Daphnia pulex: one gene and its partner. The protein of the gene in region 2 interacts with the protein of the main gene of each other region in a biochemical or structural test. Links are inferred from orthologs where the notes say so. Each region holds a gene or a part of one and is shown on either strand. Other genes may lie near its edges.

Evidence for each region. The genes of interacting proteins can lie anywhere in the genome.
Region 1: the proteins of dihydrolipoyllysine-residue acetyltransferase component of pyruvate dehydrogenase complex, mitochondrial-like (region 2) and pyruvate dehydrogenase E1 component subunit beta, mitochondrial-like form a complex in vitro, tested with the Homo sapiens proteins (2 studies listed by BioGRID and IntAct, with this or other methods). The link is inferred for Daphnia pulex from reciprocal best matches to the Homo sapiens genes DLAT and PDHB.

What each region holds. Positions count from the first base shown.
Region 1 is NC_060026.1:4,317,138-4,321,937, forward strand, and holds pyruvate dehydrogenase E1 component subunit beta, mitochondrial-like, read right to left. Parts: upstream 3,057-4,800; 5' UTR 2,962-3,056; coding exon 2,923-2,961; intron 2,845-2,922; coding exon 2,785-2,844; intron 2,730-2,784; coding exon 2,523-2,729; intron 2,457-2,522; coding exon 2,365-2,456; intron 2,290-2,364; coding exon 2,166-2,289; intron 2,093-2,165; coding exon 1,912-2,092; intron 1,842-1,911; coding exon 1,608-1,841; intron 1,542-1,607; coding exon 1,393-1,541; 3' UTR 1,231-1,392; downstream 1-1,230. Other genes in the region: neurotrimin-like, read right to left, coding at 4,087-4,229. UniProt on the Homo sapiens protein: The pyruvate dehydrogenase complex catalyzes the overall conversion of pyruvate to acetyl-CoA and CO(2), and thereby links the glycolytic pathway to the tricarboxylic cycle.
Region 2 is NC_060017.1:7,713,180-7,718,429, forward strand, and holds dihydrolipoyllysine-residue acetyltransferase component of pyruvate dehydrogenase complex, mitochondrial-like, read left to right. Parts: upstream 1-2,208; 5' UTR 2,209-2,360; coding exon 2,361-2,479; intron 2,480-2,684; coding exon 2,685-2,869; intron 2,870-2,936; coding exon 2,937-3,215; intron 3,216-3,278; coding exon 3,279-3,601; intron 3,602-3,681; coding exon 3,682-3,851; intron 3,852-3,969; exon of another isoform or gene 3,970-4,041; intron 4,042-4,131; coding exon 4,132-4,294; intron 4,295-4,353; coding exon 4,354-4,623; 3' UTR 4,624-4,824; downstream 4,825-5,250. Other genes in the region: cyclic AMP-responsive element-binding protein 5-like, read right to left, coding at 1-180, 245-456, 515-636, 698-817, 884-1,551, 1,613-1,699, 1,819-1,921, 2,004-2,054; polypeptide N-acetylgalactosaminyltransferase 1-like, read right to left, coding at 5,052-5,250.

The sequences.
Region 1 (4,800 bases), on a different chromosome or scaffold from region 2:
CTACACAATACAAGGCGAAGTAAACAAAACAAGCCACCTGGTGGCCAATATTTAGAGCTCATTCAACATTTTTGACGGCGCGACCTCTCAAAAAGACAAAAACCGATTTGCACAAAAACGAATTGCTCTCTCGTTTCCGCTTTTACGAAGAGAAGCGAAAAGAAATAAGAGAGATTCGAGGGATTCAGAGACTTATACTTTACAACGAATTTGTACATTCGATAACTGATCTCAGAGTCCTTGATTCAGTTCTGATTTCTTTGATTTTCTTTTCCTTTGGCTTTCAAATTTCTGGTGGCGAAAAAAGTGACAGGGTCACCCTTCTTTTTTGTCCAACTCATGTGTCTATGCTGAATATCTCTAGTCCGTTCTTGTAGGAGTTTCGTAGTCTAAACACCGTTATCGGTTTAACGGACACGCTAGTGTATAATGCACGACGACGACAACATGCATAACCTTCGATAACTTTGATTTAATGAGTTTAATGAGCCATCTTTTTGTGGCAAATGCGCTTAGTCTGAATTATTATTAATTTCTGCATTGAAACCTGGTAAAAATAACAATTTTAATTCTGCTTTAATGCAGCGTTTTTAGTGTCATAATAAATTTAAATATTAGAATTCGTTTGCAATGTGGGCATTACTGATTGCGTTACTATTATCTTTACATTTTCTGTGAAATGGGGCTCGAACGGCTTGCCCCAACGACGAGGGAGGCATTCACTATGCAGTATACACTATTCATTAATTAAAAAATGGATATGAAAATTTAAAATTTCAATCCGGTTTTTGCACGAATGAAATCTCATTCAAAGGTCTTGCGTGGTCCTTACAAAGCATTTATATTCCATATGAGCCATGACCCTTGATTGCGATTTTTCCTTCACGAGAACAAGCTTTTGAATCCAGACAATTATGTCCCATGGCAACTGGACTTGAATTAGTCGACTAGAATTTTGCAAAGCTGTTACTACTAAATCGTTCAGGTACTATACTCTTACAATGTCTCAGGTATCACGATTTTCCAGATTTCTTTGTTCTTAATTTTTTTTTTAAGTGATGGAACCCTGGCGAGTGGAGAAGTCACAAGATTTGAATTGATTTTGTAACAATTAGATGAAACGTTGCCTATTCCCTTAAGCCAAAATAACTAAAATGAGTCACCATTATAACAGGCAGGAATCAAATATGTAGTTATAAGTTACGTTAACTACCAATTAAAAGACAACAATTACAGTTAACAACTCGAAATTTCCGAGTTGATGCTTCTTTAGACTACCCATGAAGATTTACACATCGGCACGAGAAAAGAATGAGAGAGAAAGATAGTATACAAGATCTAGGAAATTTTTGATGTTGGTCTTGTCTCACTGGTGTGTCGAACTTAGTCCAACTATTGCACGTTCAGAATTTTCTTAACAACTCGGACCACATCTTTTCCTTGAGGAAGAGAATTATCTTCGAGAGTCTTGGCGTAGGGCATAGGGATATCAGCGCCGGTCACACGGACGGGTGGGGCATCGAGATAGTAAAATCCTGGGCCTTGAAATTCGCAATAACACAGATATATGAAACCGAATGCAGACTGGAGAAATCTTATTTAATTACCTTCAACCATTCGAGAAACAATTTCAGCGCCTACACCTGACTGTGGCCAGCCGTGCTCTACTGACACCAAGTGATTTGTCTTTTTCACCGATTCCATGACGGTATCAAAATCTAATGGTCGTAGACTTCGGAGATTGACCACCTCGGCTTCAATGCCAATGGCACTTAACTCCTTTGCGGCATCTAAACACGTAGCAACTGCTCGAGAGAAGGCTACCAAAGTTATGTGCTTACCTAGTTTAAGAAAACAAGTTAAGATAAGACAAAGAAATTTGTTTTTGTCTAAGAATATTTCACGTATTACCAACACGCTCGATTTTAGCTTTGCCAATGGGCACAATGAAGTCCTTTGACAAAACCTCGTCAGAAACGTCAAAAGCAGTTCCGTACATAATTTCGTTTTCTAGACATACGACAGGGTCAGGATCACGAATTGCAGCTTTCAGCAAACCTTTGGCATCTTCCGCGGAATAGGGAGCTACAACCTAAAACATCACCCCCAGGGAGTGAAGCTGTTATAATTATAGAACCACAGTTAAATAAAGAATTGTTGACTACCTTCAGGCCAGGACAGTGGCTATACCATGCACCAAAGCACTGTGAGTGCTGGGCAGCAACTCCAGCTGCAGCTCCATTAGGTCCTCTGAAGACAATGGGTACATTGACTAATCCAGCTGACATACTTAAATAAATGGAAGAATGAATAAAATAATTAAGATTCCAATATTTGAGGAAAAATTGAAGTAAGCATCCATACTAGAAGGTTTTAGCAGCTGAGTTAATTACATGATCAATTGCTTGCATCGAAAAGTTCCATGTCATGAATTCACAAATAGGTCGTAGTCCTCCCTGAGGATAGTTGGAAGGAAAGTTGAAAATATTTAGTCAGTAAAACTTGTTACACTTCAAACTTACCATAGCAGCACCTGTGGCAATACCAGCAAAGCCCATCTCAGTGATGGGGGTATCAATGACACGTTTATCGCCATACTTTTTCCACAAGCCCCTAGAAATCTTGTAGGCTCCATCATACTGAGCAACTTCTTCACCCAGAATGAAAACTCGCTCATCCCTTTCCATTTCTTCATCAATGGCGGAGTTGAGGGCATCTCTCACTGTAAGCTAAAATGAAATATGAGCCTTTAGCATTCAAGCAACCTGCTATTACCGTCCATACCTGTGCAGAGGCTGGACGAGAAGTGGATATTCCTCGTAGTCCAACATATTTAAAAGCATTCTGTTTCGGGAAATGAGTATGAAAATGAATAAAAACAGTAATAATAATAGCAGATATGATTATGCAAGCTACTTTTACCTTTAACATCATTGTGGATTTCGCAAGAGGAGCCGCCATAGCCGGTCGTGTGCTTTATACAGAAAGGCGTGATCAGCTGATCGTGATCGACTTATTAATAGAACGCATAGTTTTTCACATAACCGGTAGGTGGAGGAAAAGGCGCTTCAGCATGCGCAACCAAGTAGCGCAGACACGACATCAAGCACATTGAATATTTTCATTTTTTTTTTGTCATTTTGAACATAAAAGCTGCATATTTGTTCTTATTTAGGCCTATGTATGCTTTTGTATTACACATTAAAAGTACGACCACATAAGTCTAAGTTTATGTTGCAGCACTTCCTGTGAAACAAAACCTCTTATTCCGGCTCCGGCGAGTGCTGGATTCAGTTGATTTCCGCAAAAACGGTTAGCAACTAATCCCATTGGTTGGATATGAGGCAAACGGAAGCATTATAATTACCGTTTGAGCTATTGGATTGGAAGTGATCGGAAGTGATTGTGCCCATCAATTATTATTAGATTTGATTTTGACGCTTTGATTTATCGCCATTATTGTGGAAAAGTGCCTGACCTAGCATCTTTGGAATATAATGTACCCCTAGTTTTTGGTATTCTTTAATATCTGGATTAAATTAAGCACACTACACACCAGTGAAACAAGACTAAAATGTAAAATTTCCTAGATATTGTATTATACTTTTCCGCTTTCGTCTTTGTTCTAGTGCCGATGTGTCAATCTTGATGGATAGCCGTCTGATGAAACAACTCGGGAAAGGTCGAGTTGTCAACTGTCGTAATTGGTTTGTTGTGTTTAAAAAACGAGTATAGTTAGAAGTTTTTACGTTTTGTCGTCGACGGCTTCGTTTTATATATAGGTGAAATTATTTAGTATTTCGTGCTCATTTCATTGAGGAACAAGGGAAATTGGAAAGTTTGAGAGAAGATATATAGAACCATGGAATAGAACATACAATTTACACGGGAGGAGTAAAACGAAGAAAAAGTGACACACAGTTTGGAATGGATGCGATACAGATCTGTACAGGAGATAAATAACCACAGACATATATTATATTGCAACAATGAGACTCGTCCGAACAAACAGACATTCCGACCATTTCACATTTGAACGTCAAAAGAAAACAAACGCAGAAGAATTGAATCATTTGCAATCGACATTCACCAAGTAGATCTCCGCCTCGCCGTGTTAAAGGTAGTAGTGGCTTTGACGTTTATTACAACACTGTTGATCGCCGTCCATCCGATTAGAATGAAGGTTGTTGCAACCCACGTCCACGAAGAGATCGTACAACTTGACGAACCTAAATGACGAAATAATAATTAGAATAATTAGTCAGTCGCTAAAGTAATGTTATGTAGATGTAACATGTAATCTTTTGGTGAACGGCCTATTTATATGCAATCAAGTAGCAATATTTCCAAGTGAGTTATTGCACAACCGATCTTCCAGGAACACTGTTGACTCAACTAATTCGAGTGCTGCTCTACGAAATTTCCAATTAGACTTGCGACTTCTACGTCATCTAAACTTTTGACTTGTTTATTTTCATTATAGATGTTGATACTTCAAAAGCTCATTTAAGTAGACGAATTTTGGCTTCCTTCCGCGCTTGAATACATAAAGTCTCATTTGAGTTATTCAGCTCATGGGAATAGACACATACGGTCACGCAAGTTGCCTGATGCTATGTATAACAATATCATTTTAGGCTTCATCTTGTACTCCGCTTTATTCCGTCAACGTTTTTTTTTTTAAATAGACTTTAATGAAAAATTCATTTCACTTCTCTCCATCTGCAGCTCTTTAAAGCCATTATATAGTTTCAGATGTCGGTCACGTATCTCCCAAAAAAACAATTCACGAAGGCGGAA
Region 2 (5,250 bases):
GAACCATAATGAGTGAGGGATGTGAGTCTTTACTTCCAGCTGTGATAGGGTAAGAAGTTGAATTTTGGTTAGAAGTATTCAGTATGATTATCTGGCGTGGAGTTGCAGACGAAACTGCTGAATTAGAAATGGTAGAATTGACAGTAACACCCCTCGATTGATTTCCAGCTATAAATACGCCTAAAAAAGACGTAGATTAATTTAATACGTACATTAAATTTGTGAAATATTCTTTAATTATTACTGTTCCCTGATACAGGCGGTTGTTGACACATTGCGAGAGTTACAGGACAATCTTTGTGCGCTAAAAGTTGTAATTTTAGCTGGGCAACTTCGCTTCGTAAAGCTAACACTTCATTTTGTAACAGTTTGTTTGCGGTGTTCATTACTGTTGTTTTGGCTTCTAAATTTGTTACCCATCTCTTCCTTTTTTGACGAGAGCGGAATGCAGCAGCTCTGACATATAAAAAATTCGAATTAATTATAGTTTATACTTTTCAATTTATCAAAATACCGGTTCCGCTCCAGAAATCTCCTTCGTTTTTCACTTTCTTCTTCGTCCAGATCTTGATCAGATGCTGAATTGTAGACGCGACGTCGGTTGTTAGGTTTTGTAGAATCATTCACATCCATAACCTTAAAACTCAATAGAGTGAGATAACAGAAGGATTGAGGTTTGTTTAGTACATGCTAATACCGAATCTGCGTTGGTTAAAGGCTCCGTATCAGTACCACTTGCATCGCTGGTGCCACAAGGGGAATTTCCGTTTAAAGGCTGATTTGCAGGTTTAGCTTTCGTTAGCGCTTGTTTCAGTTTCTATCAATTAAAAATATTGTTGAGAAGAGTAAAGGATATTGATAAAGAAATTATTTTTGTTGGTACCAATTTGGCTTCCGACATTACTGGTCTTGCTGACTTAATTTTGCAACTACTTTGTTCCACGCCAACAGGAGCCAATGGAGATCCTACAGCAGGATTCACTATTTTAGATGCGTCAGTTTCGGTAGGTACAGGAATAGCAGGAATTTGAACTAAACGTCCATCAGGAAGACGTAGCAGAAGCGATGTCATAGGATCACTGGTGGCAGATGATTGAACAATCGGACGAGGCATAATATTCACAGTTGGGTTTGTGGCTGTCTTTGTGCAATTGCTTTGAAAAGTGTTGTTTTTCTTCGGTCGATCTTTTCTTGAACTGCAGGTAATTATTGAAGTGGAAATTGTTTTGCCGCAATCAGATAATGTGGCGGTCGTTGTATCTACTCTTTTGTTGAAAAATCCTTGGGACTCGGTTGTAGGAGCTGTTACAGTAATCAATGGAGTTGGTACAGGAGTTGTTGCTGGAGATGGAAGAGTCAGACATTCTGATGTGGACAATGATGGCATGAGGTAATTTTTTCTAACATTAGCTGATTTGGGAGGAGGCAACTGTGTAACTACATCTGAATCCAGTGGAAGCACAGGGAAGACATGAGGAGTGTGGAGAACATCATCTGATGTGGGAAGTGAAGGAGGACTGAGATGAGTCTCAGCTGCTCTTCTAAATTGCTCTAAAAAAAACAAATTGAACTATTTTTGACAAGTTTTCTGTAGTTAATAGTGGCATTTTACCATCAAAAGGATTGACATTCAAATCTTGAAAAAGCCCAACTTCTTCACAGTTTCTAATAAATCTTGTTGGGGTGGGGGTTTCATCAGCTATAATAGTTAAAAATTAGATTAATACAAAGGAAGGGTAACAGAATTTATTAACACAAAAATTTACATTTCATTTGTATTAATGAAGTACAGAGTTAGACATAAAAAAATCAACTCACCCACAAAATTAGGTGTCTTTGAGCCATTATTACTAATTGATTCAATTGAAAGGGACATGTGTCTCTTTTTATGAATACTCAAGTGGTCTTCATTGGCGAACCTCTTTAATTGCGAAAACGATGAATGAATAAGATAGCAAAACACCAACAGTCAACATTAAATAAAACTGTTTACAAATTATTACCATAGAACAACCAGGACTGGAGCAAGGAAATGGTTTCTCGTCATCCACCATTTGAGTATTTGAGGGAAATATCTTTAAACGATTCAATTGCGCAATAGAAAACGCGAAAATTAACGAAAATATTGAAGTAAACAATCTACAATCGTACACAAGTGGTTTTTCTTTCGAAAGATTCTCAGAACTGAGAAGAAAGGTATAGCAGACTACATTACGCTCTTTTAGGGTTGTGGACTTGTGGTCTGCAGACTGCAGTTTTTTGGGTTACCAAAAAATCAGCTGTTCTAACCTGCCTTCGTCTTCTTCATATGAGCACACCGTGATTTCCACTTCCAGTTCCGCTCATATAATTCCTTGAAAATGTTCCGATCATCGTTAGTTCGAAAGGCTTGTGTTGCAAAGATTACTTTGGAAAATGCAACGAAAACACGAGCTGCAAGGAAACTTTCGACGGTTGTGTTTCAGAAGGATATTTCAAGGTAATCATAGTTTTTCAACTAGCAGGAGCAAAAGCGTTTTTTCCCTATGATTTCCCATACATACAATTGTGTATCAATACTATTTATCTAAATTTTATCAAAATATATAAAAGATTACATTATCTTAGAAAGTATGTATGAAATAAGTGGATTGACGATCTGCTATTATTGTCTGCAAGCATTTTACTGGTGGTTTACTTTCTAGACGTGGAGAAACATATGTTGACAAGAGCACTGGGTATTCAACAGTCTCTATCATAACTGGACTCCATAAAACATCAGTAAGGATGTATGCCAGTGGTACACTTCCTTCCCATAAAAGAGTTGAACTGCCCGCATTGTCTCCTACCATGGAATCTGGAACTCTTATTAGTTGGGAAAAGCAAGAAGGTATACATACACCTTTAATAGTAAATTTCTTTTAATCACTCATTTGCTTGTATATATATTTTTTTAGGTGACAAACTTAATGAGGGAGACCTTCTAGCTGAAATTGAAACCGATAAGGCCACTATGGGATTTGAAACTCCAGAAGAAGGATACTTGGCTAAAATTATGATCCCTGCTGGCTCCAAAGATGTTCCAATTGGAAAATTGGTTTGCATCATTGTTGAAAAGGCTGAAGATGTAGCAGCTTTCAAAGATTTCAAAGACGATGGGGCTGCTGTTGCTGCTCCACCAGCTTCTCAACAACCAGAAATCATTACTCCATCTCAATCATCAGTTGCTACAGCTGGTATGCCATTTTATTTTTCATGCATTACATAATGCACACCTTATTTACAAGTTACATCCTTAGCTCCAGTACCCTCATCCACCGCCGCAACTTCTTCTGAGAGGGTATTTGCGTCACCATTGGCTAAAAAAATGGCTGCCGAGAAAGGAATTTCATTGGCATCTGTATCTGGTGGTTCAGGATTCGAAGGATCGATCACAGCTAAAGACCTTGATAAATTGTCTGTGGCTCCGAAACCCGTTGCTGCAGTTCCACCAACTGCAGCTGCTCCTATTCAAGCAGTTGCTGGACAAAAATATACGGATCTTCCTGTAACTAATATCCGTGGTGTTATCGCAAAACGTTTACTACAGTCCAAACAATCTATCCCTCATTATTATTTGACGGTAATAACTCGGTTTTCTTAAATATTGTGTGATAGAGAAATATTGTATAATGTAAATAATGATGCAACTTCTTACGCTAGGTGGACGTTACCATGGATTCAGTACTTTCACTTCGTCAGGAATTTAATGCACTACTAGGAAAGGATGGGGCCAAGCTGAGTGTTAACGATTTTGTCATTAAAGCTGCTGCTCTAGCTTGCCGTAAAGTTCCTGAAGTAAATTCATCGTGGCAAGAAACTTTCATTAGACAGTAAGTCAATTCTCTCATTGAACTGGTTCATGCTAGATTTTTCTATTTCGCATGTCGCGTGTCATGAACACGTGACTTGCGCAGCGATAACCCGACTACTTGTTTGTATCATAGCATAGGGGGTATAGCTCAGTGGTAGAGCATTCGACTGCAGATCGAGAGGTCCCCGGTTCAAACCCGGGTGCCCCCTCTCCTTTTTTTCAAGATTTTTATTCATTATTTTTACATATGTGTTGAAAATGTTATGACATGTCAGTAAAGGAACTATTTTTGCTTATAGGTATGACACGGTGGATATTAGTGTAGCCGTGAGCACAGATCGTGGTCTTATTACACCTATCGTCTTTAATGCTGAGAGAAAAGGTCTCGCTTCTATCAGTGCTGATGTACGCACATTAGCTGGCAAAGCTCGCGATGGAAAACTTCAGCCCCACGAATTTCAGGTAATAAATCGAAGATTGATTTAAGTAAATAACTATTTAATCCAAATTTTGTTAAATAGGGCGGCACTTTTTCCATCTCGAACCTTGGAATGTTTGGAGTTCGAAATTTCACTGCCATCATAAACCCACCCCAGTCATGCATTCTGGCAGTTGGAGGAACTGAAAAACGACTGGTAGTTGATGCATCCGCTGAGCAAGGTTTCCGTGCTGCCAATGTCATGACTGTGACGTTGAGTAGCGACCATCGTGTTGTGGATGGTGCAGTCGGCGCCCAGTGGCTGGCTGCTTTCAAGAGTTACCTTGAAAAGCCTAGCACAATGCTTTTGTAAAAAAAAATATCTAGCAAAGCAACCTTCGTGAATGTATGTTGTATCTTAAAAGTAAGGTAGTTTAGTTGAATTAGGAAATCTAGTTGATCCTAAGTTTTTTGTTTTAAAATCAAATTGGATTACCATTTTTCAGATCTGTACTGTTATTCTGTTAAAAAACCCTGTGAATAGTAGGGGACAAATAAAAAAGTGCTGACGAAATATCCTCGTAATTTATTCTTTGAATTTAACAAGCAACACGTGAGACAACAAATCAATTAAATATAAATTGAATTGAGCTCATGCCGTCATTTTAAGTTAAGTCTTCAAGTGACATTGAAATAAACACTTGAGTTAACATGGTAAGTGAATAAGGCGGGGTGTGAGAAACTGGGAAGATTGCACAAAGCCAAGCTAATGAGCTGACGGTTTATCAGGGTTTAGTGACATCAACTCCATTTCTCAGGCTGAAGAGTCCATTGCTGCTCAGACGAGCCATCACAACTATGAACTGAGACCTCTCCAGGAGTTTCAGGTGGGCGAGAAATAGATAAACACAAACCAGAATTGCCATGCACAATCGCGTTGGTCCTCAAATTGTGATGCCATAATTGTTTACTGAATCCCGAACAGGCCATAGCTCGCGCT